Arabidopsis thaliana: one gene and its partners. The protein of the gene in region 1 interacts with the protein of each later gene in a pairwise test. Each region holds a gene or a part of one and is shown in the gene's direction. Other genes may lie near its edges. The genes, in order: RGS1, AT5G47530, SELT and PHL1.

Evidence for each region.
Region 2: the proteins of RGS1 (region 1) and AT5G47530 interact in a two-hybrid assay, tested with the Arabidopsis thaliana proteins (one large-scale study listed by BioGRID).
Region 3: the proteins of RGS1 (region 1) and SELT interact in a two-hybrid assay, tested with the Arabidopsis thaliana proteins (one large-scale study listed by BioGRID).
Region 4: the proteins of RGS1 (region 1) and PHL1 interact in a two-hybrid assay, tested with the Arabidopsis thaliana proteins (one large-scale study listed by BioGRID).

The regions. Positions count from the first base shown.
Region 1 is NC_003074.8:9,529,592-9,537,988, forward strand, and holds RGS1 (REGULATOR OF G-PROTEIN SIGNALING 1), read left to right. Parts: upstream 1-3,021; 5' UTR 3,022-3,291; coding exon 3,292-3,371; intron 3,372-3,807; coding exon 3,808-3,928; intron 3,929-4,023; coding exon 4,024-4,087; intron 4,088-4,168; coding exon 4,169-4,253; intron 4,254-4,357; coding exon 4,358-4,431; intron 4,432-4,525; coding exon 4,526-4,806; intron 4,807-4,891; coding exon 4,892-5,130; intron 5,131-5,207; coding exon 5,208-5,332; intron 5,333-5,421; coding exon 5,422-5,543; coding exon of another isoform or gene 5,544-5,552; exon of another isoform or gene 5,553-5,568; intron 5,569-5,630; coding exon 5,631-5,819; 3' UTR 5,820-6,038; downstream 6,039-8,397. Other genes in the region: AT3G26080 (plastid-lipid associated protein PAP / fibrillin family protein), read left to right, coding at 1-91, 403-477, 583-813; AT3G26085 (CAAX amino terminal protease family protein), read left to right, coding at 1,251-1,320, 1,411-1,793, 1,870-1,930, 2,026-2,150, 2,232-2,294, 2,379-2,503, 2,665-2,806.
Region 2 is NC_003076.8:19,277,568-19,284,624, forward strand, and holds AT5G47530 (Auxin-responsive family protein), read left to right. Parts: upstream 1-3,806; 5' UTR 3,807-3,903; coding exon 3,904-4,530; intron 4,531-4,659; coding exon 4,660-4,914; intron 4,915-4,997; coding exon 4,998-5,303; 3' UTR 5,304-5,494; downstream 5,495-7,057. Other genes in the region: RABA5a (RAB GTPase homolog A5A), read right to left, coding at 29-354, 460-799; AT5G47540 (Mo25 family protein), read right to left, coding at 5,698-5,774, 5,868-5,970, 6,060-6,104, 6,182-6,280, 6,370-6,438, 6,556-6,615, 6,714-6,807, 6,912-6,986. UniProt on the Arabidopsis thaliana protein: May act as a catecholamine-responsive trans-membrane electron transporter.
Region 3 is NC_003074.8:17,426,169-17,432,277, reverse strand, and holds SELT (SELT-like protein precursor), read left to right. Parts: upstream 1-2,654; 5' UTR 2,655-2,722; coding exon 2,723-2,866; intron 2,867-2,937; coding exon 2,938-3,002; intron 3,003-3,084; coding exon 3,085-3,403; intron 3,404-3,491; coding exon 3,492-3,593; 3' UTR 3,594-3,835; downstream 3,836-6,109. Other genes in the region: AT3G47295 (uncharacterized protein), read right to left, coding at 3,907-4,034, 4,137-4,224.
Region 4 is NC_003076.8:11,020,365-11,028,522, reverse strand, and holds PHL1 (Homeodomain-like superfamily protein), read left to right. Parts: upstream 1-3,657; 5' UTR 3,658-4,293; coding exon 4,294-4,863; intron 4,864-4,949; coding exon 4,950-5,145; intron 5,146-5,234; coding exon 5,235-5,311; intron 5,312-5,417; coding exon 5,418-5,463; coding exon of another isoform or gene 5,464-5,510; exon of another isoform or gene 5,511-5,598; coding exon 5,599-5,659; exon of another isoform or gene 5,660-5,736; intron 5,737-5,773; coding exon 5,774-5,843; intron 5,844-5,965; coding exon 5,966-6,187; 3' UTR 6,188-6,543; downstream 6,544-8,158. UniProt on the Arabidopsis thaliana protein: Transcription factor acting as central integrator of phosphate starvation responses. Regulates FER1 expression upon phosphate starvation, linking iron and phosphate homeostasis.

The DNA.
Region 1 (8,397 bases):
AAGGTTCTTAAGATCGTTAACTAACTACCAATGTATCAATATGGATACACTAAAGGTGCAAAGAATGGAGACTTGGCCTTTCTATAACTCGGTAATATTTCAAACCGCGACTGAATTCTCTTTTTGTACCATTTTCACAAGTAGGTTTTGCGATTTTGCGTTGTGTTAGACCATATACAAAGCTCTTTTCTCTGTGATGTTGAAACCTATTGATGTGATCCATTGCTATATAATATTCAAAATGTACGAAAGTTTGAGACTTTGTCACATATATGTATGATCATGTTCCATTGTGACTCACTAGGCAAGAACAAAGGAGGACTAATACCAAAGTTTTTATCATCAATATTCTTTCAGCAGAGTTTGTAAAATGAGACTTAGCAAACTACAATGTTTTCATAGGTAACTGGAGACTTGACACCCCTCAACTCGAAGACGGTTGCTGTGAAACTTCAAGTGTTTAAAATTCTCGGCTTTGTAAGTATTACCAAAACTCTTGCTGTTATAAGGGAAACTGGTAGTACTGACTCATACATACACCATATGCTTCTTTTACTGATCATTAGTGTTTGCTGTGTGCAGATTCCGGTAAAAGCACCTGATGGTACTGCACGCGGTGAACTAGAGATTACCTATGTGGACGAGGAACTACGGTCAGTAGTGAATGATAGTTTTTCATTTCTCTATGGAACTGACAACCAAAAACATTTGAATCTTGAAACAATGTTCATTTTTTACAGGATATCAAGGGGCAAAGGCAACTTGTTGTTTATATTGAAGATGTTTGATCCCACTTATCGAATCCCTCTCTGATCTATCGAAAAAAATAGTTTCGAGCTATCATACATACTTAAAATCGCTTGTTCTGTCTCTCTATTCATCATGTATGTAAAAATCTAATAAGAGAGAATAAAAAGAGACTAGCTTTTGTCAATGATTCAACTTGTTTTGATCGACATTGCACCACATTAGATTAAAAAAGCTCTAAACTTTGAATTCGGTACAGAAAATCAGAAAAGGACTCATGTCCTCTTCTTTTGAAATATGTTACAATAAAAATTTGGTTTCATTTCTTCTTCTTTCTTGGTGCGTTTTCTCTGATAAACGACGCCGTATGAAGCTGGCGAGACACAGACCTCTCATTTCGACGCTTTCTTCTTCGTGAAACTCTTCATTTGTTTTATATTGGAAACAGAGTCTCTCTTATGAATCAAAGCGACAAACTTTGAGAAGGCAGGCGAAAATCTCGGATGGGTTCCATCGCTCTGCAATCTTGGAGCAGAGGAGCTTCAACTTCTCTTCATCTCCTTTTTCGTCCAGGTAGGTAAGTGCGATTCCTAACTTGATATGATCATATATATGAGAATTCGACAAAGATTTTTGGTTGAAATTTGCTTACTTGATGATCAGTTGGCTCGAACCCTAAGCTATATGATGCTCGAAGAGTACAAGTAAGATTCTTTAATGTTGCCGCTTCTTGGTCCGAACAGATGATCTCTTATACTATAGTCTGTTTATTTTGTCTTTTGGGTTTTAAGTTTGATGTAAGAGCCTCTTCAAGTCGTAAATCACTTAAGAAACTCAAAAGAGAGTCACAACAAGGTAAAGACATAGGCTTAAGAAATGTTACAGATGAAGAAGTTTCTTCTCCAAGATTTGAGGAAGCTCAAGTTGATTCTTCAACTTCAAAGGACTCCATTGATGTTTTTGTTGCTGCTCCTCGAGACAAAGTGCTTCAGGCTTGCACTGTAACTTCCGGTTTGATGGCTGCACTAGGTCTGATCATCAGAAAGGTGAATCCCAAATCTGAAAGTTTATGATTTTGTGATTCTAGCATTTGTATCTTGCTGATTTGGTTACCGCTTGCAGGCGTCTCATGTTGCTTCGACTGAAGGATTACTGGTTCCAGACTGCTCTATAGATGTACCATGTAACATCTCGGAAAACGATTATGTTGTGTACTAAGAATCCTTTGAGAGATTCAGTAACCAAAACATGTTTTGTATTGCATGATCTTTCTTGCAGTTGGGTTTGAAACTTGGCATCTCGGTTTAATTGCTGGAATCGTTGTGTTTATATCGTCAAGTAGGTTCTTGCTACTTAAATCTTGGCCAGATTTTGCTGATTCTAGTGAAGCAGCAAACCGACAGGTCAAAACATTACACATTATATACATTTATACGATTCTTTAAACTCCGCTTATTGTCTCCTTTGGTATTCACTACTTGCAGATTCTCACTTCCCTCGAACCTCTAGATTACCTTGTTGTTGCAATGTTACCGGGAATAAGTGAGGTAACAATAAACAATCACAATAAAACACAGAAAGGCTCTCCTTTAGAAAATGTCGTTCATTGGTTTGATTTGGTGTATTCACAGGAGCTGCTGTTTAGAGGTGCATTAATGCCTTTGTTCGGAACTAATTGGAATGGTATTGTAGCGGTTGGCCTCATTTTCGGTTTACTTCATCTCGGGAGCGGAAGAAAGTATTCTTTTGCAGTTTGGTAAGCCGTTTTTACTGAACATTTTGGTACCTCAATGCTGATGAGAATTGCGTAGACCGAATCTTGATATTAGATGATTGCCTTTAACATGTTCTTGCATCTCTCTATCACATTTCCGAGGTTTTCCTATTGAATTCTTTGCGGTTTCTTGAAATTTTCAGGGCTTCGATTGTCGGTATAGTCTACGGTTATGCAGCTGTTTTGTCGTCGAGTCTTATCGTTCCAATGGCCTCGCACGCACTCAACAATTTGGTGGGAGGTCTGTTGTGGCGATATAGTTCCAAGATCAAGTCATTGGAGTGAAATAAACAAAATTTACAACAGGGTTGAATTAAAAAAGTATACAATTTTAATGGGTGGGTTTGTGAAATCTCTCAATAGTATAGGGTGGTTATGTCAAAAATCTATAATAGAGGGTGGTTATTGTAATTTTAATGTACCAACTTGTCACAAAGGACAAGTATGAAAAATCTATAATTATAGAAGTGAAAAGTGAAAAACCAATCAGAATTGTTACCGGAAAAAGGAAGTGTCTTCTGGTCAAAAAAGTCAGAGAAGAAGAGAGAAACGTGAACAATGAAGAGACAGAGACGTCTCTTCTCTTATGCGAAAGTGTGAATCTTTTAAAGCTTTTTGTTTCAACATCGATAAATGAAGTTTCTTTTATTGAATTTATAGAAATTTGCACACTTTACCTTGACATTAAAGCAACAAGCTTTGAAACCAAATAAAATCTCAAAAACCCAGAAAGCGAGTGGAGAAGAGAGAGCTGATATGCTACAATAGAAATGGCGAGTGGATGTGCTCTACATGGTGGTTGTCCCAGCGATTACGTCGCCGTCGCAATTTCAGTCATCTGCTTCTTCGTGTATGTGTTCGAGCTTAAAAATCCCATTTTTGGGTTTTAGTTTTGAAGATCTAGATTTTTCATTTACTGGGTTTGCTTGTTGACTCTTGACTTGAGTCAAAATCTCGAATTTTGTGTCTTTAATCGTTTAAAATTTTCATACGATGTCTCTCTTTGCTATTTTAACTCTTTGTATTGTAAGTGTTTGATGTTATGTATCAAAAGATCTGTCTTTTGTTTCGTTTCAGTTTCTTTTAGCTGGGAATTAGATGGTTTCAGTATCTTGATAGCAAGATTCATATATTATGTCGGAATCGATTATTGAACTTAGATTTGAAGTTCAAAAGCTTGATTTAATGGACTAATTGAGTGGATTTGTATCATGAGTTAACTTCCAAGTAGTTCAATTTCTCTATTAAGTTGATTCTATCTGATGGATTTCACTTTGTTTATTTAGGCTGTTATCGCGCTCAGTGTTACCGTGTTTGATTCATAAGGCTCCTCGTACTAACAGTAGCAGTTTCTGGATCCCTGTTATTCAAGTTATCTCCAGCTTCAACCTTCTCTTCTCAATTATGGTTAGACTACTTGACTTGATGATTCCGTTGCTCTTAAGAATCACTTCATTTGTTGAGTTTCTACACTAATAGACTGTTTTATATTTAATTTTCAGATGTCAGTTAATTTGCTTCGATTCAGGACGAAACATTGGTGGCGATATTGCTATCTTTGGGCAGGTTTGTTTGGAAACCATGATTCCTCATCTTCGTAAACAAATTGACAGTTATATCAATAAGTCTTGTATAATTTGGTTTCAGTGTGGATTGAAGGACCACTTGGGTTTGGTTTGTTGATGAGCTGCCGTATAACTCAGGCATTTCAACTATACTTCATATTTGTCAAGTGAGGTTCAATGTTGATCAAAATGTTTTTGGATTCCAATTCTATCTCTATTGGTGTAATTGAGTTTAATGCTGTTTGGTTGTTACATATTCTTTGCAATGTAGGAAACGTCTACCTCCGGTAAAATCATACATTTTCCTCCCCCTTGTTTTGTTGCCATGGATCTTCGGAGCTGCAAGTAAGAATTGTTCTGAACGTTATATGTACTGAGCAGTTCTTGGTTTCTCTTGTTTTGGATAATAATAACTCAAAGCTTTTGATTTTGCATTTAGTTATCCACGCAACAAAGCCTCTCAACGATAAATGCCACATGGGTCTTCAATGGACTTTCCCAGTTGCAGGCCTTCATGCTCTCTATGTCCTTGCTTTAATTGCATTCACAAGAGCAGTTCGACATGTAGAGTTTCGTTTTGACGAGCTTAGAGATCTCTGGAAAGGAATTCTCGTCTCAGCCACTTCAATCGTTATATGGGTAACAGCGTTTGTGTTGAATGAGATTCATGAAGAAATCTCTTGGCTTCAGGTTGCTTCAAGATTTGTGCTTTTAGTCACGGTATGAAAGCTAATACCAGGACTGTTCTTTATATTTGCAGTTGGAATACCTTTTTAACAGACTTCTGAGTTGATTCTTCTTTCAGGGTGGGATTCTCGTCGTTGTCTTCTTTTCCATCTCGAGTAACCAACCTCTTCTTTCACAAATCAGCTTGAAGAAAAGACAAAACTTTGAGTTTCAAAGAATGGGTCAAGCTCTAGGCATTCCCGATAGCGGATTATTATTTCGGAAGGAGGAGTTTCGACCTGTTGACCCAAACGAGCCACTCGATAAGCTTCTTCTCAATAAAAGATTTCGCCATTCGTTTATGGAATTTGCTGATAGGTACTCCATTCAATACCTGACCTCATATATATCCCGGTTTCACCATTTATTTAAACTAATTCGTTATATGCTGGTAGCTGCTACGCTGGAGAAACATTGCATTTTTTTGAAGAGGTGTATGAACATGGTAAAATCCCGGAAGATGATTCGATAAGAAGAATCTACATGGCTCGACATATCATGGAGAAGTTCATCGTCGCAGGTTAATTACATATCCATCTTCCCTCTTCTTTATAGACCTGTCTCGTGTGTTCTCTCTATAAATCTAACTAGTAATTCCTTAAAACACAGGAGCGGAAATGGAATTGAACTTATCTCATAAAACCCGACAAGAGATCTTAACCACTCAAGATCTAACTCACACTGATCTCTTCAAGAACGCATTAAACGAAGTCATGCAATTGATCAAGATGGTAAAATAACATCTCTCTTTCACTCTCTTACGCACGCCTTCAAGCTATTCTCTTGATTCTCATTTTTTTGTGCTCATGAATTTGAAGAACTTGGTAAGAGATTACTGGTCATCCATCTACTTCATCAAGTTCAAAGAAGAAGAAAGCTGCCACGAGGCAATGCATAAGGAAGGATACAGTTTTTCATCTCCAAGACTGAGTTCAGTTCAAGGCTCTGATGATCCTTTCTATCAAGAACATATGTCAAAGAGTTCCAGATGCAGTAGTCCCGGTTAAGGAGTCTAAAACTGGTACTAGACCAGAACCCAAACCAATGTTCATAGCAATCCAATCCATGTAATCTTCCTTCACATTTCTTGTACATGTCATTTTCTCTCTTGTTATACCTAACTGTAAGAGAAAATGTCCGGTTCGGATTTTGGTTTAGTTTTAAATGTGTATACCGGACAAAAACTATGGAACCATACTAATTAATATCTCGAAGAATTTATACGTATATGCCATCTGTTTCACCAAGAATAAAAAAGCACCTGCAGATTGATCTTCATGTCCTTGCAGAGTGATGATGTTGCATCACATGTTTCATGATGTGATGACATATCCATTGGCCTCGCTAAGGCTTTTCATCAACATTTTGACATAATGTTTTTTTCCACCACTATATTTTGACGTGTACAACATCTATAACGAGAAGGTGGGATGGTCATCAAATATTTCAATTTTAGAATATAATTTGTTACTGAAAAGAGAAAGTTGAAGAATTTTTTAGGTTTATCATATGATTAAATGATATTAAAAGTTTTAAATATCTATAAAATATAAAATTAAATATTGTTGAGCAGCAATAAAATGTCTTTAGGTAAGTTTTTAAAAAAAAAAATCATCTGTTACCATTTAAGCTCTAAATTATTCAGTAAAATTCTGCAAGAAATGTCAATTAAACCCTAAATTCAGTAACTTAGCCAGATTTATTCTGCTGTTAACATATAAAAATTAAATGTTCAAAAAATAAAACTTATATGTGTAGGTAAGAAGTCTTGTCAGCGAATGAAAAAAAAGTTTAAATTAATGTTTCATTATTATGGTGAATCTTTCCCAAATATTAGTGGTTCTCATCTCACCATAAATAAATATTATTTCCCAAAGAAGTTTTTTTTATTTTATTTTTGGCTGTCTACCATATGGTTTTGGTATATATATGGGTAGCAATTATTGGGTGTTGTCGATGTTCTCTCCAAGATAGTTTATAAAACTAAAAGGAATCTTTATCAGTTTATCTTTCACCAAATTAGTTAATTTCAATATATTTTTTTGGTTAAATTGTTTAGCTTATGGGGAATTCTCTAAATAGTAATTACATCTATTTTCTGTTCCAAGACTATTATGAATAAATTTTCGAAAATGCTACAAATTAGTTGTGATAATGTTATTTCCTTTTCATTCTTATATCTCAATCTTAATATCTTCATTCTATCTTTGTTTAAAACTCAAACTAAAATGAAAACTCTATAACATCTAGACATGAAAACTCTCACTAAAATGAATTTAACAAAATTTACTTCTATTTTCGGTGAAAATAATACTCCTTATAAACATGAAAAAGAATGAGGATGTCATCATAGTGGATAACTATGTAAGGACTCATGAGTAATATAATCAAATTATTAGCAGATATTAATAAACTACTATAAAGATCCGTTGGATAGATAGATAGATAACTTGTTCTACCACTCAAACCAAGTTTTGGATGCACACGTCTATATACACACATAACACATGCATACATGTATTGATCATCATGATGTTATATTCCATTACAATCAAACATATATGTGACATATAATCACAAATTTTCTTATAATTTGTTATGTTATTTACTGAGAAAGAGATCTGATCGCTTTATAAGTCCGCATAAAGAGACACCACAACTTTCTTTCTTCTTCATTCACTTCTATCAACGCCAAATTTGCAGACTTTCCCAGGACCAAAATTATATTAAAAAAAAGTTCCTTTTTTCTGATCAAATTGTGAAATTCGCTTGCTTGCTTTCTTCACAGTCAATTAATTCTCTAACAAAACATTCTTCGATCGTTCGTTTTCATCTTCTATGCTTCTCTGATCAGACACAAGAACACAACCAAAGAAACTCACTATAGCTTGTCTGTAGATTCTGATGTTCGAATTCTTGTTGTTGATGATGATTGAATTGATGATGATGATGGTTTGATGCAGATGGGTTTTCAAAAATCTCATCTTTTTTCTTAACAAGTAATCATTTTTATCCATCTCAAGTCTCTGTTGAATTTTCTATGATTTTGTCTCTGATTGTGAATCTGGGTAATGATCAAACTGTAGTATTAGTTACTAACATTTCCCCAAATGGATTGATCTCTCTGATGTGTTTGTTTGGTCAATCAAAATTGATTTCTGGGTTTTCTGTTGTGATCATGGTAAGGTCAAAAGTTTTGAGTTTCCGTGTGCAGAGGAGAAGGAGTAGTCCTTTGCGTGTGACAAACTGTTTTCTTATTATCTTCCGTATCAGATCCAATCTTTCTTTAAGATTCCTTTTTCATCTTTATAGAATAATTCATTGTTGATTCCTACACTTCTCTTCCAAGTTTTCTTCTTTCATTCTTGGTTGATTTGATTTGATTGATTCACAGATTCTTTCTCTGTTCTTCATTAGTCAAAAGGTTTCACCTTTTCTAGTTTCTGTTTATAACAATTGATTATGATTTGGAACCTTACTTAGTTTCTGTTTCTTATGTAGATCAAAAAGCTTAGAACTTGTTGAACAATACTAGAGACTAGAGAATTTGCAGGTAAGTTTTTGGGGATCTTGTTCTGTTTGTTT
Region 2 (7,057 bases), on another chromosome or scaffold:
TTAAGCTCTCTACAATTTCAGTTTTCTATCAAGAAGAACAACATCCACCTTTCTTGAACTCGCCCTGCCCGTCTGATGGTATCACAACTTTCTTGCCATTGCTCAGTGAAGCAGGGTCTTGCTTGTTTAGCTCCTGTGAGCTCATCACTTTCCTGCTCAGTATGTTGTATATCTCCTTCACAACCGTCTCAAATGCAGCTGCCACGTTTGATGAGTCCAAAGCCGATGTCTCCATGAAGAAAAGACCTTGTGCTTCAGCCAATGCCTTCCCTTCCGCTGTTGACACTTCTCTCAAGTCCTTCAGATCCGACTTGTTGCCCACCAGGATCGTCACAACATTCATATCAGAGTGTGCTGCAACAGTTTTATGAAGACACCCCTCACTTTCATTATTCTTGAATCAATTAGCAAATGGGAGATTGTTTAGTAGCAGATAAGAAAAGATAAGAGGTTTCTTACTGTGTAGCTCGTTGAGCCATCTACCAATGCTGTGAAAAGTCTGCCGTCTGCTGATATCGTAAACCAGAAGAGCTCCAACTGCACCTCGGTAATATGCAGAAGTGACTGCTCTAAAACGTTCTTGACCTGCTGTGTCCCATATCTGTGCTTTGATCTCCTTCCCGTTTATATCCATCTTCTGTGTCTGAAACTCCACTCCAATCGTCGACTTTGAATTGGGATAGAACTCATCCCTCGCAAATCTGGCAAGTAAATTTGATTTCCCGACAGCAGAATCACCGATTAGAACAATCTTAAAGAGGTAGTCTTCGCTCTTGTCGTCTTCAGAGTAGAAAGCCATGTCCTTTAATGCTCAAGATTAACCCTTCTACAGAAGCATATCTTTACCACTGGCTTGAAGCCCGTCAACAAAGCTAAGGACAAAACAAAGAGCCAAAGTGAGGAAGAGGGAAGACAAGAATAAGTAGAGTTGGCATAGGAAACTTGAGAAACAGTAAAGATTGAGATCTAAGAGAAACAAGAGAATCTTTAAGATCACCTGTCTACTTGAGGTAGCTTCCTAGAAGGTTCAGTGGAACAAAGTTGACTAAATATCAAAACTTTCAGCTCTCAACCACCCTAAGAAAATCTATCACAAGCAAAGTATTCAGCACATAAACGCATTCTGGATCCAAAGTAAGACAGCAATACAAGTTACCTCTTCTGAAAGCTTGATCTGGCTCTTTAACACCTCCTAGAGAAACTTGTTATACAAGCTCATGAAGCCTATATACAACAAGTAAAGCTAACTTTAGTTATAATCTCACCCTAAGAATCTAAGTTAAAGTCGGTAGATACTGACTATTCACAAATCATGAAAGCCACCAATAGGAAAGCAGAGAAATATTCTCTCTATCATAAGGAGAAACAGAATTGAGACAGAAAAGACAAGCGCGGGCCCAATTCAACCAACAATACTCATTCACTTGATCACACAAAGTGCAATCTTAAACACTGATAGAAAATTCTCAGTCTTGTCCTTAGGGCTCACATTAAAGATGAATCGAGTTAATGATTGCTGCAGGTTTATAATATCTGCCTGAATATGAAAATCTTCATATACGGCATTAGAAAATGAAAGTAGGCCACACATTTCTTTCTGAAAAAGATGATGAGACATCAAAACTTATAAAACACCAATTCAAAAAAATAATCGAAACTTCACCTAAGAAACTAAACCCAAGTAAGAACCCATTTTCGCAAAAGAGAAGGAGGAGATATTGTAAGAACTCTTTAAAGCAAAAACAGAGCATTGTAATAGAAACAATCAAACCAAGTAAAAACAGAATTTTACATGAGAGATCATCACATTACATTCCCGTCAGATGTAAGATCACACACATACATACACACACAAGACAGAGAAAACGTTGATGATCACGAATTATGAAGACCCATTAGACAAAACAGGACAAAAAACTCGCATTTACAGGGATAATCATAAGGGGAAAATTGAGAAAAACCTTCTCTTTATTCTCGGGAAGTGCAGAGGAAAACAAAATTACCTTGTGGAAGCAACACCGATTAAAGAAATTGGGGAACATGGGAATGGAATGGATCCAAAGAGAAGAAAACGAAACAAGAGATCCCAAAAATGGAATCGGAAAACGAAAGGATTCAACGCCTTCTTCTGGGAAATCAAAGACACGCAGTAACTCTGGCAGAGAGAGAGAGAAAGAAAGAGACCGGAGTTTTTCCATTTCGGTTCGGATTGGTAATAATGGGCTCAGCAAAAATAAAACATCTTGGGCCCTTATGGACCCTCTTACCCTATTTTACCATAGGCTCTACTTTTTTTTACCACCTTTGTTTTAGTTTCACTTAAAATTTTAGTTAAGGAAAAAAAAGTTACCGATTATGTACACTCTACTGTTATTTATTAGACACAACAAAACTTTCAAATATGATGGATTTTCCATCCTATTTTATTTATAAAAGAAAATATTTATATTTCTAACATCAACAAACTCTACCCAAATCAGATTATCCTTCTGAAACTATGCAATTTGTATTGTTTTTCAGGAAACTAGTGATTTTTTGAATAATTGTAATACTTTTCATTCATCAAAAAAACATATTATATCTTTCCTTTTTTTCCATCAAAAACATATTATATCTAAATATCTCATTTTGGGTTGTTTTTTGATAATTAACACTTAAGCCCATATAAAAGAGTCTAGTTCAAACTGAGCCCAGCTACACCAAAGAATCTAGTGGGGGACATGTGGCAGGTAGTAATTTGAGCGTTGACCAAGAAAGGACATTATTATACATCCACCTGGTTAGAGCATGCTTATAGGTGATATTCTCAAAGTATCATTAAAAAAATTTTAGTATTATTTATAATGTTTGTTTAATAGATAAATATTTTTTTTCTTACTTTTAATAAATGCTACCAATCAGGAGATGTCACGTAGATGATACTGATATCAAGAAAATCACTGGAATGATACTAATCAAACTCATTCTAATTGTTTGGTTAATAAAAAAATAATTTTTACACTGATGATATTCTAAAAATATCACTCATGTACATGGTCTTAACCGTTGAAATGTTGGTCGCGGCCTATATATAGAAGAACATAACTCTAAAAATAGCTAAACCCAACCACTTCCCTTGGATTGGAATCTCTCATAAACAGTTTGTTGGTCTGGTCCGCTCCAGTCCATACTCATAAGGTGGTAGATGTTTACTTAGGGTACATCATACATGCACAACGTTAGTAGTTGCAGGCATAGACGTGTTTGCCCTTTATTACGCGAAAACCACTACTCCCTTCGCTAGTCTACTTTCGTCAATTGAACCACTAAACCCAATGAAACCTAATATTTTAGTGTGCTCAATAATTTATCATCATCCCAATTCCCAAGCGTACCAAGATTATAATCTAACTTAACGCGCAATGTCATGACAAAACCTATATACAATGAAAAAGATTTTTCATGACAAACAAAGAAAAAATAAACACGAGAAATGAGTTCTCGTAATAAAGTTGGTGTGAACTGGTTTTTGAACGTGAAGATGACCCCTTCATATTTTTATTTCTTGGTTTTTGCTTGAGAGGGTTAAAGACTCTTAAGGAAGAAATACATTACACGTCAAACCTTTTTGGGAAAACAATGAACGCTTCATTTATAATGTTTCTATTTTTTACTCTTAGGTAAAACATTGCAATTGATAGATGAACAAGAACAAAAGCAGAGGATTAAAAGAAAGATTAAACTATGAAAAAAGGACACGTGTGAAGAGAATTAGAGATTCTGTATTAAGACAGATTAACTAACAAACCAAACCCTACTTGTTCCACTTTCTATTCATACTTAATCTCATTCTCCTCTCTTCCCCTTCATACTTAAATCTTATCATTCATCCATCTTTTAATCATTACTCGAGATTCTGTTTCCATGGCCATATCCTCAAATCTTCTCCTTTGTCTCTCTCTTTTCATTTTCATCATCACCAAATCCGCCTTGGCTCAGAAATGTTCCAACTACAAATTCTCCACCAACCGTCTCTTTGAGTCTTGCAACGACCTACCTGTTCTTGATTCCTTCCTCCACTACACTTACGATTCTTCTTCAGGCAATCTCCAAATCGCGTATCGCCACACAAAGCTCACCCCCGGGAAATGGGTGGCATGGGCCGTGAATCCCACATCTACTGGCATGGTCGGAGCTCAAGCCATTGTGGCTTATCCACAATCAGACGGCACCGTTAGGGCTTATACGTCACCCATCAGTAGCTACCAAACGAGTCTCCTAGAAGCTGAGCTGAGTTTCAACGTCTCTCAGTTGTCTGCCACTTACCAAAACAACGAGATGGTCATCTACGCAATTCTGAATCTTCCACTTGCGAATGGTGGAATCATTAACACTGTGTGGCAAGATGGGTCACTGTCAGGGAACAATCCTCTGCCTCATCCAACTTCTGGCAACAATGTTCGTTCTGTTTCTACTCTTAACCTTGTCTCTGGTGCATCTGGATCCACCTCTACCGGAGCAGGAGGAGCTTCCAAGCTACGCAAACGCAACGTGAGTCCATGGTTTTATCAATTTCTTCATTTCATGTTTTTTAGGAATCTCACATATGAAATGAGATTTATCAATCCCATCATTGTTAGTTGGTTTTATGAAACTTATCACTCCTAATCATTATTGCAGATACATGGAATATTGAACGGTGTGAGCTGGGGTATAATGATGCCAATAGGAGCAATCATTGCTCGCTACTTGAAAGTCTCAAAATCAGCAGATCCTGCTTGGTTCTACCTTCATGTTTTCTGCCAGTCTTCTGCTTACATCATTGGTGTTGCCGGTTGGGCGACCGGTCTCAAACTGGGCAACGAATCAGCCGGGATTCAGTTTACCTTTCACCGTGCTGTTGGGATCGCTCTCTTCTGCCTCGCAACAATTCAGGTAGGTTTTAGTTAACAGTACAGAGAGTATTACACTTGTCATGAATATGTTGCAATTACTAAGTTGCTTGTTTCACACGTTAGGTGTTTGCAATGTTTTTGAGACCCAAACCAGAGCACAAGTACAGAGTCTACTGGAACATTTATCACCACACTGTAGGCTATTCAGTGATCATTCTTGCGGTGGTAAACGTTTTTAAAGGACTAGACATCCTGAGCCCTGAGAAGCAGTGGAGAAACGCTTACACCGCCATAATCGTAGTACTAGGTATAGTCGCGGTTGTGCTCGAAGGGTTTACTTGGTATGTAGTCATAAAGAGAGGGAAAGCAGAGGCATCTGCGAAAACAAGTCAACGAGTAGGCAACGATGGTCGGTCTCTATACGTGTAGACTCTGTAAAGATTAGAGTAAAATGTTCTGGTTTATTTGGTCATTATGGGCTTGTGGTTGTTAATTTTTGTTTGTTTTCGAGATTAAGTTAATACATTTGATGTTTAATAGTTGTTGAAGTTGAAAGACTCTTGTGCTCTTTTACAACATTCATGATGTGAGCTTTTGACAAACCATTTTATTTCATCGACAGTGAAGTAGTGTACATATGAATACATATATCGAATAGATATCTCGTATGTGTATGTGTGTGTGTGTGTGTGTGTGTGTGTGTGTGTGTGGTGAGAAAGTGAGAGGAAGATTGGTTACCTAATGTAAAAAAACAACAAGATGCTTCAAAAATGTCTTTTCGAGTGTTTTAAAAGGGAAGGAAGGATGAATTGCATTAGTTGGTTCAAGCAAGATCTCGAGGTTCAAGGGCTGCGATTTCTCTCAAAACCTGACTTTTGTCTGCTTCAAACCTCTCATCCTCTGTCAACCAAATGAACCAAACAATGCTTTAATAAGGTTAAGGAGCAGAAGGATCGGATACAAGCGTTTCACTTAACAAGATTAGTTTCATACCTTTGTCTGGTTTCAAATCAGCCAACAATCTCAGAAGCTTGCTTCTGTTGGCCACCAGAATGTTGACTATATCCGCAGGCTTGTTTTGGTTCGCTGCAAACAGCTGCACAACAGTGACGATAATCTCAGTACAATCACGTTGGACTGACAAGTGACAATCATCATTATGTTACATCTCGTTAATGTAGGTACCTTAAAGACATGGAATGCTTCTATTTGGATACTCTTGCTTGACTCCTGTAATTCAAGCGATTGAGTTTATTTCCCAAACTATTATAATCAAGAACAAAAAAACGGAGAGTAAAGCATCGTACTCTTAGAAGATTCATGAGAATCCTCAAGTTATCCCTCGAGCTCACATATTTCGTCATCACAGCTGAATTTGATCGATCCAATAATATATCACCCAACAACTGTTTAACATTTACACCATACAGTACATAAGATTGATCAGCCAGTACCATCATTTCAATGTTTTAGATTCTTGTATAAGTTAGCCTACCTTAATAGCTTGCCGTCTGGTTATATAATTACTTGATTCAAGAAGCTTTGAGTTGTAGTCTGCGAAAAACTGCAAACCAAAAAGTTTGAGATTATTATACGACTTGAACGCAGGACCTGCAGAGGATAAATTACAATGTTCTGTCTTCAAGCATATATCATAGTGCATTGTTGCTACATAACTTACCCAGTCTTCATTCTTGGTGAGAAACTCGGCAACAGTAGACTTATGCCTTGTCAGCAGTTCCTGTGAAAATAAATGACAGGTTTGGAGTTATGATTGCATGTTTACTAGTCCCAGACAGGGAAAGATCCAAGCTAAAAATGCGAGTTTTGTTTTGGAACCTTAAAAGTAGCAGCAGCATCGGCAGCAATGTCGAAATTTGGAAGCTGTATGTAATCAAAGAATTTCTTCACATGGTCAGACTCCAAAACATATCTGAATCCAAAGAAATTAAGTTAGTAAACACATTTTCCGTTATTCTCTGAATCCATAATTACTCCATAGGTCGTAAAATGAAGAAAATGAAACGATTGGCTCACTTAGCCACAATCTGATGACGGATACACTCCCTAAACATAGCACCATAGTGTAAAGCCATGTCTGTGTTCTCGAAGCTGACACAAAACATGGAAAGCTATAAAAATGATAAAATGTGGTATCTCTTAATTTGGAAAAACTACCAACT
Region 3 (6,109 bases), 7.9 Mb from region 1:
TGATTTCGTCCTGGTCCTTTTGGTGTGTATTCCGGCGGAAAGGCAACTAACTCTTTAATATGGGCAGGAAGAACCCAAACCGACTCATGTGGGACTACATACAACGTCCGGTAATAGGCCAATGCCCAACTCTCTATCAAGTAATACACAGAGCAGAGTCCGTAGATGGTTGTATTCGCATTTCTCCCTTCCTTGCGGGCGAGGTGCCTGGCTGCGGCCATAGCATGGACACACGGGATCTTGTCTATATCAAAACATTTGCATGAACAACTTTTCATTTTCAAATCCACCAGAAAACTTACCGAGTTGAGATCAATCACGTTGTATTCTTGGTTGTAACTGTTAAGCTCAAACACAGTTAATTTGGCTGCAATTGGACATCTAATGTGCAATATGTTCTCGACAGTAGGCACAACTTGTGCTGTGATTGGACAAGAACTTGAATCTTGCCTATGCTCGTTGAACCATTCAGAAAACTTAGAAATCATCACATCAATCATTGGTAACAAGTGATATTTTCTCGCTTTTTTAAACACACCATTAATGGACTCCGCAGAATTACTAGTGTCAATGTTATACTTGTCTCCTTTAAAATGGCACCTCGACCATTTCTCAAACCCTACTTTCACAAGAAAGTCAGCAGCTTTAGGCCATAAACTTGTAAAATGACCAAACTCTTTCTCGAACTCACTCTCAGTATATGCATGAGCACAATCCCTGAACTTGACAGCAGCTCCATCCTTGTCAATTTTCACACGATCTCTCATGTTTTGACACAAATGCCATATACAAGCTGCATGAAGCGCATTCGGGTACACCGTCTTGACAACCTTCTTTATGCTTTGATGCCTATCACTAATAAAGACCAATCCGGGAACATCCGAATATACAGTTTTCAGCTTTTCTAAGAACCAAATCCAACTTACATCATTCTCGCTATCAATGATTCCAAACGCAAGTGGATAATGATGATGATTAGGATCTTGTGCTGTTGCAATAACCAACATCCCACCATACACAGTTTTAAGATGAGTTGCATCCACAACTATCACTTTCCGCATTGTCCTAAAACCTTCAATGCAAGCGCCTAATGCAATGAAGAGGTACTTGAACTTTTTCTCTCCTTCCAACTCCACATAAGTTACTGTCCCTGGATTTACCTTCTCTAACATGTAAAGATAAGAAAATAACATCGTGTAGCTTCTTTCCGGAGTCCCTCGCACATCACTAACATGTAGCATTTTGCCTCTTAAGGCAGTGGAGTATGAACAATGCACCCCAAGTCTTCCTCTTACAATCGACATAATGTTGTTTGGAGTTGGGGTCTCTAAATTTCCGGGATAGTCACAATGCAAAACCGATGCTATCAATCTTGGTGTGCCTCGCTGTATACTGTTGCTTGTAGTCTCAACACTCCGAGAGCATGTATGCATCTTTCTATGCACTCTAACACTCCAAAAATGAGATTTCTTAGTTCTCGCAACTCTTAGATACCAAGTACACCCTTTAGAAGCTTGGCGGCATCGTAGCATAAGTCTCAACGGGTCTGACTTAATAGTATAGACTCCAAAAACTTCTTGCTTTGCAGCTCTGTTAACCAATTCCCACACAGCCTCCCTTGAACAAAATTCTTGACCAATTTCAATACCCGTACCATCATCCCATTCTATAACCTGCGGAGTAACTTCTACACTTCGTGGAATATTGTGAATATCATCATAATCAATCCTATCATCCTCATCTTCTTCCTCAACAGAATTCACCGGCCTTTCCATCGGCCTTTCGACAGCCACGATCTCCGTACCTACTACATTCTCACAATCATTCACATCATTATCATATCCATCATGCACCATCTCACATACTTCATTTAAAACATCATCTTTTCTTACATTTACACCAACTGAACTTCGACGCTCCGGTACAGAAATTTCCTCTCTCCTCTCAACTCCTATACCATTTAATTTCTCCACATGCAAAACAGGAATCCGACTCTCTTCATCAGATTCTGTTAAAAATATAAAGACATCCTCATCATCTACAATATATGTCTCTCTCCTAACTTTAGACAGATTGTAACTCAGTTTCAACTTCACAGAAGCTTCATCAATCGCAACCTTCTTCATGATCTTGTCAACTAACATGAAACCCCCCAAATCTTTAATATGAAATCTCGGAATTCAAATTCAACTCACATTCAACCTACATTCCTTTGCTCATCACCTCAAATAACGTTTCGGCAACCTCTAATCGATTACTCTTTACTTTGCAAACCAATCATCAAACTATCAAATTGAATCTGGGAATTATATATAATTCAAAATCCTAATCTAAAATCACAATGCACCAATGTCAAAGGAAATATGAGAAGAAACTGACCTAATTCGTTGCCTTTTACGACGGATTTCAAGTCGGCGGCGGCCGGAATCGATGGTGGCCGACGAAGAAGATGAACGTCGACGCAAGAAGAAGAACACGACGACGAAGAAGAGAGAACGGAGAATCTCGATTTTCTTTATTTAGCTTTTGAATTTCTTTTTTATTTTTTTAATCAACTCATTAAGGGTACAACTGGTATATCACATTTTCGGTGACATTCACTGATGGCAGTCCAGATCAGTTTTTTAAAAAAAGTGGCATAAGTGATAAAAGTTCTCTTCTCCGATCGATCTCCTTCAAAATTTCAACTTCAAATTCCCTCTCTGAGATTTCAAAATCCGCCATGGACAAAACACAATTGATCTTGTTAGGACTACCGATTTTCCTGCTTTGTTCCGATCTCTTCAATCTCTTCACGCCTCCACCGCCGAAATCTCAGCACCAATCACCACCGTCTATCTCAGAAACCCTAGATTTCCCCGCACAGGTGAAGTCGAATTCATTCCTACATAACATCTCGCACACCACTTGTGTTCTAATCGTTTGTCTTTTTAGCAGAAGTCAACTGGTGTTGGATATGGAAACACCGTAGAGATCAACTTCTGCATCTCCTGCTCGTACAAGTACTTTTCCGATTTCTTTCTAAGTCAATGGCTTTAAGCTTTATCATCATTTAGATTTGATTCATTAGTCTTTGTATTGTAGGGGAACTGCTGTATCAATGAAGAAGATGTTAGAGAGTGTTTTTCCTGGATTAGATGTAGTTCTTGCTAATTACCCTGCACCAGCACCAAAACGTATTCTTGCTAAGGTTGTGCCAGTTGCTCAGGTGGGTGTTATTGGTCTCATTATGGGAGGTGAACAGATATTTCCCATGATTGGAATTGCGCAGCCTCCTGCTTGGTATCACTCTTTGAGAGCGAATAGATTCGGGTCCATGGCTTCCACTTGGCTTCTTGGTAACTTCTTGCAGTCTTTTTTGCAAAGTTCTGGTGCTTTTGAAGTTAGCTGCAATGGAGAATTGGTCAGTTCTTTTTTCTCTTATGCATGGTTGCAGTATCATATCACACTCTCGGCTTTGGCTAATCAAATCCAATGTTTTGTGTTGCCAGGTGTTTTCTAAATTGAAAGAAGGGAGATTTCCGGGGGAGATTGAGTTGAGAGATCTCATCAGTGGAACTATGACGAAACCATTCGTCACAGGCAGCTATTGATGTAGACTCTAGTCTAGAAGGTTCTGAAATCCTTACTGGCTTACGATCATAGACAACAATATAGTGTTTATGTTAAAAGCTAATGTGCCAGAACGTTCATGTTTTGTCTTTAACACCAACATCATGTGTTAATATACTCAAGTTGTGTGGTTGATACATAGCTCACATTGTTTCTTAAGGTTTTGCTTTGATACTCAGATGAATAATATACAGAGTATAGGAAATGGAGAATTCAGCTCAGTCAAAAGAGAGAGATTATTATATATATATTTATTTATTCAACATAGACTAAACAAGTAAACTCAGAAGAGTTTTAAGGTGTTGTGTCAGCCTTTGCATTGGTCGGAACGCTGGGATCGTGTCTGGTGTTTGCAGATGGATCGTCATAATCCTCGATGGTCATCATCAAGAATCTACTTGTAGTCCCTGTCTTCACAATTCCTAACAAGTAAAACCAATTCAAACCCGAAAACAGAGTCAGAACATCATAGTTCAATGAATCAAAGCATAAATGAAAGAAGCATCGATTATAAGAGATGAAACCTGAAACATGAAGAGTGTTTGGGGATGAAGATGTTACAAGTGGAAGTGTTAGTATGAGAAACAAAAGAAGACGAGTTCCAAAACTCATCTCAGTTTTGTTTAAGAGGTATGTATATGTATGTATGAGTCGTATATATTTATAGAAATGATGATTCAAAATCGATTCTGGTTGTGGTTATCCAATTGCAGTTTGTTTTTTCACGTGAACAAGAGACTAAAACATTAAAGCCTCTTTGTTGTTGTTGTTGTTGTTGTTGTGTGTGTGTGTGTGTGTGTGTTAAAGAAGAGTGTTAGTTTGGGAGATGGGGTATTAATGGTCGGAAGACAACCAAGGAAATAGTGACATGTGGCTTAGAATTGTCCCCACATTTGTTCACATCAAGGGGTGCACAATGTCTGAAATTCTACCCTCAATCCCAGATCTATACGATATGCTATGAAAAATACGATACCTGAAGTTCATGGGATTATCAGATTATTGTTCCGGATTTCGATATGGATCCACATTTGTCTATTACCCTCTCCGTGTTTTTTTTTTTGTTGATGTTGGAGGTTTTTGCACATCAATTAAAAAATTTATTTAACTTTTGTTTAGTTCTAAACGAAAATAATATTTATTGTCTATCTAAACATGATTTAACAAATGATAAAACAATATGCAAAATATAAATAGCCAAAATCAATATGAAATCTAATTAATTTTGCATTGAAATTTGAAATATCATCTAAATTAAAAAAACAATTTATTCTAAAACATCAACTAAAATAAATATCGAGTACATAGAAAAGTATGGTATATTTTTGAATATGTCTTTCATAAATCTTTTATTTCTATTTTATTAAAAATTAAAAAACAAAAAATACACAAATGTTAAAAACAAAACAAAACATATTGGAACCAAAAAGCTAAAAGCCAGGAACATAGCTACAAGCCTACAATTACACATTGGTAATGTTTGAGAATAAACCTGAAAGTTTTGTTATAGCCATCAATTTTTTATTTTATATATGTCAATTCAGAAATAAAAATATGTCAATTAAAAAAAAACTTTTATTTTACATATGTTAATTCAAAATAAATAAAAAATAAATAAAAATAAAGAAGGGATAAGTATAACGTATTGGCATTAGAAATTTTTTTGAAAAAATTAAGCTTTTACAATGGTATTTAAATTGATTTTTTTTAACTCATACAACAACAACCACAAAAAATAAAAATAGATTTGAGATATAGTGGAAGAGGATGAGTCAATGAGAGAATGAATATTTGTAGGATGGGAAGTGATAGAGTTACAATTTAAAAATAAATATGAGAGTTGAAAATTCTAATTGATTGTGTGTGAATAAAATTTTGTAGAGAAATATAGTAAATATATAATTTATATGACTTTAGTTTTATATTAAAGTGTGAGTTAAATGTAAGCACCAAAAAATAGTGTGACTTAATTATATATCATTAAATGTGTTTTTTTTTTTTTGAACATCAGCTTTATTAATCAAGAACATGATACTACATAGTCACGATGCAAATGCATCAGAAATATTAAAAGGAACATAGAAATGAAACACAGATGAAACATTTCCTTGTATCGGTTGCTTCGCTAAAGAATCAGCTACCATATTTGACTCTCTTTGAACCCAGCTAAATTGTATTTGACTCTCATTAAATGTGTTTTATTTGTGGTTTAATTGAAAATATTTTTTTTGTAAATAAATTGCCAAGTGGATTAATAAGGATAGTGTGAAATCTTACTTTTATTTATAAGATGTTCTAACTTGTTTATAAAATCATTTTGAAAACTTTTCTATGATATATATATATATATATATATATTAATAATAATTTTTTTTTTTAGTTTTTCATACTCTTATATTATTATTTTCAACTCTTTTTATATATCTGAATTGATATATTCGCTGGCGGAACATATAATTTCTTTTTTTTTATCCAACATATTCGGATTCATATTCAT
Region 4 (8,158 bases), on another chromosome or scaffold:
AATAGTATAGAACGAACAATAGACAAACAAATGATTGAGCTAAACCGATCTGATCCAAAAAAAACTATACCCTATGAGATACAACATTGGCAACCCAAGCAACCGAAGTAAATCGCAGTGGTAACGTTGACGATAGCGGTGGTAGTGTTAACAGTAGCGGTGGTGGTGATGACGACAATGGTACTAGTGGCACTAATAGTGATGTTGACGGTGATGATTGTGTCGATACAATTGTTGCAGTGATAGTGATAAATAATCGAGTTAAACCGATCTGATCCAAACAACTATATCCTCTGAGATACAATATTGGCAACTCAAATAATCGAGGTAAACCGTAGTAGTGACGTTAACGGTAGCGGTGGTGCTGGTGGTGACGATAGCAGTGGTAGTGGTGGCACTAACAATAACGTTGACAGTGGTGGTTGTGATGATACGGTTGTGGCAGTAACAATAATAAATAATCATTGTGACTTCGTGGTAGATGCGATAATGAAAGATAATTATAATAAGAATCTTATATATTTTTTGTTTTATTAAGATAGAATAGAAGGAGAAAAAACAAAGACTTAAAAAAAAATTAAAAAAAAAAAAAAGAAAAAGAACTATGTATCCTGCAATATGGACAAACTAGATTTTAACCCGCAGTAGACCGCGGAACGATTTATTTTTTAAAAATAATATATTAAAACTTGCAAATTTTATTTTTATAAAATATTTATATTTTACAGTTTATAATTGCTATTAAGTAACGCTATACCACGAATCCATGAGACAATTGTTAAAAAACTGAAGTTTTAACCCCTATTAAAACAGCATATTAATAATATTTTAAAATTTTCTAATATTGATTCAAATACATCCACCATACAACCCAATTCCAAAATAAAACCCGTTCTGTCATTTCTTTACCCGTCCCGTGATTTTTTTTTAAAGTAGTAATTTTTAAAATTTAAGAATTATTTTTTATATATAAAAGTTTTGTAAATTGTATCATTCTCTAATAAATTTATATTTTATAGTTTAATTTTATATATAGTAACATTATACATACCACATAACATTTTTGGTTTTATATAATCTTTTCTAAATTAGGATGATTTTATATGCTTAATATTAGTGGTCTTAAAAAATAATAAATTAAAGTTTTAACCCGTATTGAAACGGTGGATTAATTATATTTTACTTTTTTATTAATGTTGATTCAATAACCCGTCCCTCCAAATCCGTCTTGCAAAAAAGCCATTTATTTTATTAATATTAAGTTTATTAATGATATGACTCTGAGTTATAATCTAAACATTTTAGCTAATAACATAAGAGTGCACCATATTTATTTAATAGGGGAATGTACCATATGACCCGAATGCACTTTTACCCAAATCCACCAAAAAAGTCTTGCAAAAATACTATACTGATAAGAAACGATAGTCTGTTTTGATAGGTATAAGATTAGCAAATATATTAGTTAGCTTAAATTAGTTAAAGAATACAAATTGAAAAGGTATATTATACTTTATTCGAATATAGTATCAAAACTTATATAACATAGTGTTGTTGTTTATAGTTCTGATTCAATTTCATTGGTTTGATTGGTTTAATCAGACTAAGGACATTGGACCAGGCGGTTATCTCCGGTTTTGGGATGGCTGAGTAAACCGAAAGATGATGAAGTAAAGAGGAGTCTCTAACTGCAGTGGAGGGTCTTCGGTTCTCACGGGATAAGGTTTTAACCAACCCGAGTTTGTTATAAAGTCATCATCACTTTCTTCTTCCTTTGTAATTCTTGTTCTTAGAGAGAGAGAGTAACAGAGAGAGAATCCGCCATTGTTGTAAGCTCAAGTTTGAGCATAACTCTTCCTTTGATCTAGTGAATTTGCCGGATTGATTCGGCTCCGGACGTAGGTTAGATCACACCAATCTAGCTGAACCGGGTTAACAAATTGAGTCTTGTGTTCTTCTTTACTTGTTCGTTCGTGTTCTTGAGCTGAGTTCATTGTGAGAATCGGAGATTGAATCTATAACACATAGAGATTTGATAAATTTTTAATTGTTGAATTCTTTTTTTTGTGCTAATTTTTATGTGATTAAGATTTATTTGATTTCATATATAAAATACTAAATTGTTTTACGAACTTATTTGTTTATAATTTGGTAACAGATAGATATTCGAATATTCAATATATTTTGCTTCAGTTTAGAAAATCTTTGATGATCCGTCTTTAGATCCAATAAGCCCTATAATCTAGATATTAACCTGCAGTATACCGCAGATAGGTTTATATTTTAGTTAAACTAAAATTTTTTATTGTAAAGATGATTTAAAAATATATAATATTATTTTATTTTATTTTAAATGTATAGTAAACTGTGAGTTGTATATGTTTTGTTGATATTATCTATATTGTTTAATGTTTAAGATTATACACTTGTAGTTTGATTGTTAATTTAAGAGTTCCAACTGTAGTATACCATCTTGTATTAATATTGATCTAAACCGTCAATTCTAGGATTTTCCAGCTTGTATTAAAAATTGAATCACATCATACACATAAAAAAATCTAATATATTATTAATTATTGTAGTATATAAGATTATAAATTTTCAATATAATATGTATGAAATTGAATATAAATATCTCAAATTATGACCCGTTACTCAGTAGAAAGTTTTCTTAAATCTATTTTTCATCCGTTATAATATTTATTCATGTATTGAACAGTTTATATTCGTTTTTAAAAATTCAAATTATGCATATGCAAAAAAACTCTAATTCTTTTTTTTTTATAATGATGATATTATTTTTTCGCAAAAATAGAATCATATAAAGATGAGAAGTGAACTATAATAATTAATAAAAAATTAATATGATAATTTAGATATCAAATCTAATTTGTTGATTTTAATTGGTTATTTTTTTAAAAATTAATAATGTATTTCGTTTTTCTAATTAAATTAAATTAATTAAAATTTATATATCAAATCTTATATGTTGATTTTGATTGGTTATTATTTTTGGAAATTAATAATGTATTTCGTTCTTTAATTAAATTAGTATTTGACTTTCTAATCTTTAAAGAGATAAATTAATTTATTCTTTAAATTTTTATTTCTAATAGCATACCTATGTAATTACTTACAAAAATTAAGGTTACATTTAAAATGTACTTCCCAAATAATATAGTAGGATATGACATTATTATAAATTGTATTCTATTGTAATGATATGGTTAGAATAACTAGTTACTTAATTAAAGTTTTTTTTTGGTTATACACTCAAATTTCCGTATCTAATATGCCTAAATCCGAAGATCTTTACCAATTTGTGCCTATTTTAATAAGATACTCTTCAAACAAAACAACAATAAAAATGTAGGTCCCTTAATTCCTTAATTTTGCACTTTGCACAGCCACCAGTGAGGCAGAGATCTTCTACGACAGAGATAATACAACTTTCGTACTCAACAAAAATCTCAGTCGTTGATAAAATACACGTGTTAAAATCTAACGGTCTTGATAAATTAAAGGAAAAAACAAAAGCTGGAAACAACAGAGACGTAAAAACGATAGTTTAGGAAAACAAAACAAAAAAGTGTTCTTTGATCAATCAATAATCATTCATCAGGGCCCTGTGTTCTCTGAGTCAAGTAAGATTCTTTTCGACGATTCCATTTACTCTTTGATTAGGGTTTTATCATTCTCAATCAGGGTTTTAGTTTAAACATCGAATTAAGCACTGGATTAGCTGATTTTGTGTGATTTGATTTCAAAGTTCACAGCTTTTAGTTTCTCTGATCCTAATTTATGATTTGAAGTTTCTATCAAAAGGTTTGATTTTTATGTTGACTTTGTGATGATGTTAAACCCCATTTAGCTTTGGATCCTAGAATTGTCTTTAGGATTGTAAAGTTTTAGTTTTTATTGAATTTGATTCTGTTCATGGTAGCTTCTTCTTTAACACGTCTCTTTGGTTTCATCAAAAGCCATATTTAACTTTGCCTAAGTGGACATAAATTTCATTCTCTGAGTACTGATTCCATATCCTTTATGTAATGTCCTTTCACTATCCACATGTAGATGCTTCTCCATGTAGAGTTTGTGATCTAGAGCAAAACAAAAACGTTAGAAATATTCTTGAGAGATTGTTTCTTTTGACTAGATAGTAAGGGAATTGATTCAATGGTTCATCTCCTTTGCATAAAGTTATATTCTGTGTATTAGTGTCTCATTTCTCGTTGCCATTCAACACTCTGAATTAGGATACTGTGTGGTGTTTTGCAAAACTGCTCTTGTGCTATGACTCTGGCTAATGATTTCGGATATTCGACCGCTATGTCTTCATCTTATTCAGCTCTTCATACTAGTGTAGAAGACAGATACCACAAGTTGCCTAACTCTTTTTGGGTTTCATCAGGTCAGGAACTGATGAATAACCCTGTACCGTGTCAGTCGGTCTCTGGTGGCAATTCTGGTGGTTATTTGTTTCCTTCTTCCTCTGGATACTGCAATGTTTCAGCTGTCTTGCCTCATGGAAGGAATTTGCAAAACCAGCCACCTGTTTCCACCGTGCCTAGAGACAGATTGGCTATGCAGGATTGTCCTTTGATAGCTCAATCCTCGTTGATTAATCATCACCCTCAAGAGTTCATAGATCCACTTCATGAGTTCTTTGATTTCTCTGATCATGTTCCTGTTCAGAATCTACAAGCAGAGAGTAGTGGAGTAAGGGTGGACTCATCCGTGGAACTTCATAAGAAAAGTGAATGGCAAGATTGGGCAGATCAGCTGATTTCTGTTGACGATGGTTCTGAGCCAAATTGGTCTGAACTTCTTGGAGATTCAAGTTCCCACAATCCAAATTCAGAGGTTCAGTTTCTCTAGCCATATATGGTCTCTATGTTTGTTGGTTGTCCTTATGTTATTTAATCAGTGTTTTGCATAATTGGTATCAGATACCTACACCATTTTTGGATGTACCAAGGCTAGATATAACAGCTAACCAGCAGCAACAGATGGTTTCATCAGAGGACCAGCTCAGCGGCAGAAACTCATCATCTAGTGTAGCAACATCTAAACAACGTATGCGTTGGACACCAGAACTTCACGAGGCATTCGTTGAAGCTGTTAATCAGCTTGGTGGTAGTGAACGTGCGTAAGCTTTCTCCTTCTATTGTTCCTGAAAATAATTGCTCAAGGATGTTAACCGTACACTGATTCTTCTATAATTTCCATCATAGGAGCCACCCCTAAGGCTGTTTTGAAGCTCTTGAATAACCCTGGCTTGACCATTTATCATGTAAAAAGCCATTTGCAGGTTTGTTCTTATCCATATACTATTTTGTTATTGTATCTCATACTGCTTCTCTGCTAAGCTAATTTCTCATTTCTCACCGTCTTTCTGTTGAACTTCTTTTCTACAGAAATATAGAACGGCAAGGTATAAACCGGAGACTTCGGAAGTTACAGGTAAGGAGTTAAAATACTTTAACATAATACTACTGCACTTTTTCTAAGCTTTAAAGTATTGGTCACTCTCTAGAAGAACCTAAACTCTCGACAAACAGCTTACGAATGTATGAACTTTATTTATTTCTTGCACAGGAGAACCTCAAGAGAAGAAGATGACATCTATTGAAGATATCAAATCTCTTGACATGAAAACGTAAGAATCTTCAGTCTTCTGACTGCATAACAAACCAGTAATCTTTCTTCGTATTCTTCAGATATTCTTGTATGTATATTTTGCTAGATGATTATGTTACTATTTCTTTTCCAGGAGCGTTGAGATCACACAAGCTCTACGGTTACAAATGGAAGTGCAGAAACGTCTCCACGAGCAGCTCGAGGTAATGATTTTACATGCCTAACTGCTAAAAAACTATCCTTCTTTACCTGATTTCGAACTTAGATAGAGTAGTAGTTGTGAATATCATGAGTATTATCTGATTTTGTCTAAACCATATGCCAGATCCAACGGTCACTGCAGTTACAGATTGAAAAACAGGGCCGGTACCTACAGATGATGTTCGAGAAACAACAAAAGATACAAGACAACAAGAGCTCTTCTTCAGAAGCATCACCAAAGCAATGCAATGGTTCATTTGCAGAAGTTGAAGTTGGTCTTGAGACACTAACAGGGGACCAAAATGAATCTGCTTCAGCATCAAGGAAACGTGTCAGAGAAGATTAAAGCATGTTTAATTTGATCTCGTTTGACGAAACATGTTTATTGGGAATTAATTGTGGAAACCAACTCCAGTTTTGTTAAAAGAATCTGTTTCTTTCTTAGCTCTGTATTGTTCTAGTTTAGAAGCAGTTGATTTGGCCTTGCATGGCTGCAACACTAACTAAAGAGTAAAGACTAATTGTGTATATCTACATATACATTTTTGGGGACGATTTGTGTCGAAAAATCCTTTTTCAATTTTTGATATTGTATGTTTAGTCCCTACAAAATCAATCAGACAAGATATTTTCTTTAGGACAATGACCAAATTTTTGATTAACAATTAAGATATTGCACTAACTACTTACCTAAACATAGATATTGTTAATTACTACCCTAATAAATTGCACAAATCAATCCCTAAAACTATACCGAATTCATTAATGCTAAAATCCTAATTAACAAAATCCGGAAATCAATCATAACTAACCATATTTACAATTACTTGATTCGAAAATAATTTTAGTTTTAAATGCTAATGATATCTTACCAAAATTTATTCTTCTTTTATCAATTGCAACACAAAATCCGGTAAGTAACTATGCATTAATTTTTGTTACCTCAAATAAACATACAATATACTAGAGAAATCTGTATTTTTGTTCTTAATTGGCTTTATTCCTAAAAATATTTATACAAAATTTTGTTTTTGATTTGAAAATATATAAATCGTATATGTAGTTATAACAAAAAACTATTTTCAAATCAAATAGAATTCTAGAATAAACCGTAATAATATTTTAATGCCATATCTAAAAAACTCTATAAATTGATATATTGTTCTAACAAATCAATATTTAATAAGAATAAATTAATTTTATTCACGTTTTAATTTAATGCTAATAAAAAATAATTTATTCTAATGGTTTTTAGTTATGACATTAAAGATTTATTGCCAAAAATGAAATAATTCGAATGCTAACAATAAACATAAATGTGATCGAGTTCTTTCCTACAAAAATGGTAATCTTTAACATCTTCCATAGCTAATTTATATTTTTTCAAATTTTGAGTTCAAATTTTCCTTAATTTTCATCAATCGTTGTTAATATATTTTTTGACAAGATTTCTCTACAAAAAAGGAAACCACATTAACACTTGCGTATTGTTTTTGTTTAGATTTGTAATCTAACAACAAGCATATATTCTCAAGATATTCGAATATCAGAATATTACCTAAACTAAAATATCTAGAACATTCTAACGTAAATGTGTTAACAAAAATATTTTTATTGTTATATAATGATTCGCAATCTTCCCTTAAACATGTGAGTATCATTCTAATTTTTGATTTGTATCTATGATTTTTCTACTTGCTCTCCAAAATATTCTCAAACCGTCAAACAGATGCAACCAAAACCTTAAGATTATCGTCTATAAATAACCATCTCATATCAAACAATTACCACAACCAATTTGCCTCAGTCTAAATTATCCCTCATAATTCTCATATAGCAAGGTATTTCTTATTCATAGCTCTAGATATGTTTTGCTATACAGAATATTTATCAATGCTTGTGAGACAAATTTAATAGATTGAGTTTGTGATTTTGTTGTTTGTTAAGCTTTATGAGCAAGCTATTAAGTATGAGAAAGGTTCGTTTATCATTTCTAATGGAGCTTTGGCGACGCTTTCTGGTGCTAAGACTGATCGAGAGATAAGCGTATTATTAAAGATGCAACTACTGAGGATGAGCTTTGGTGGGGAAAGTGAGTATTCTTAATCCTTAAAAACTAAAGTTTGTAATTTCATTTTATTTTAGTTTATGATTAAGGGAAATTGAAAAACAAAAGTCCTCTATATCCAAATTTCCCAAATAACTTTCTTCTTTCTAGATTCTCCCAAATAACTTTGGTAAAAAAAATTATTTTATCATTTCATTTAGTTTTCAAATTTTATTTTATTTTACACCACGGGTTAAATCCTATACCACA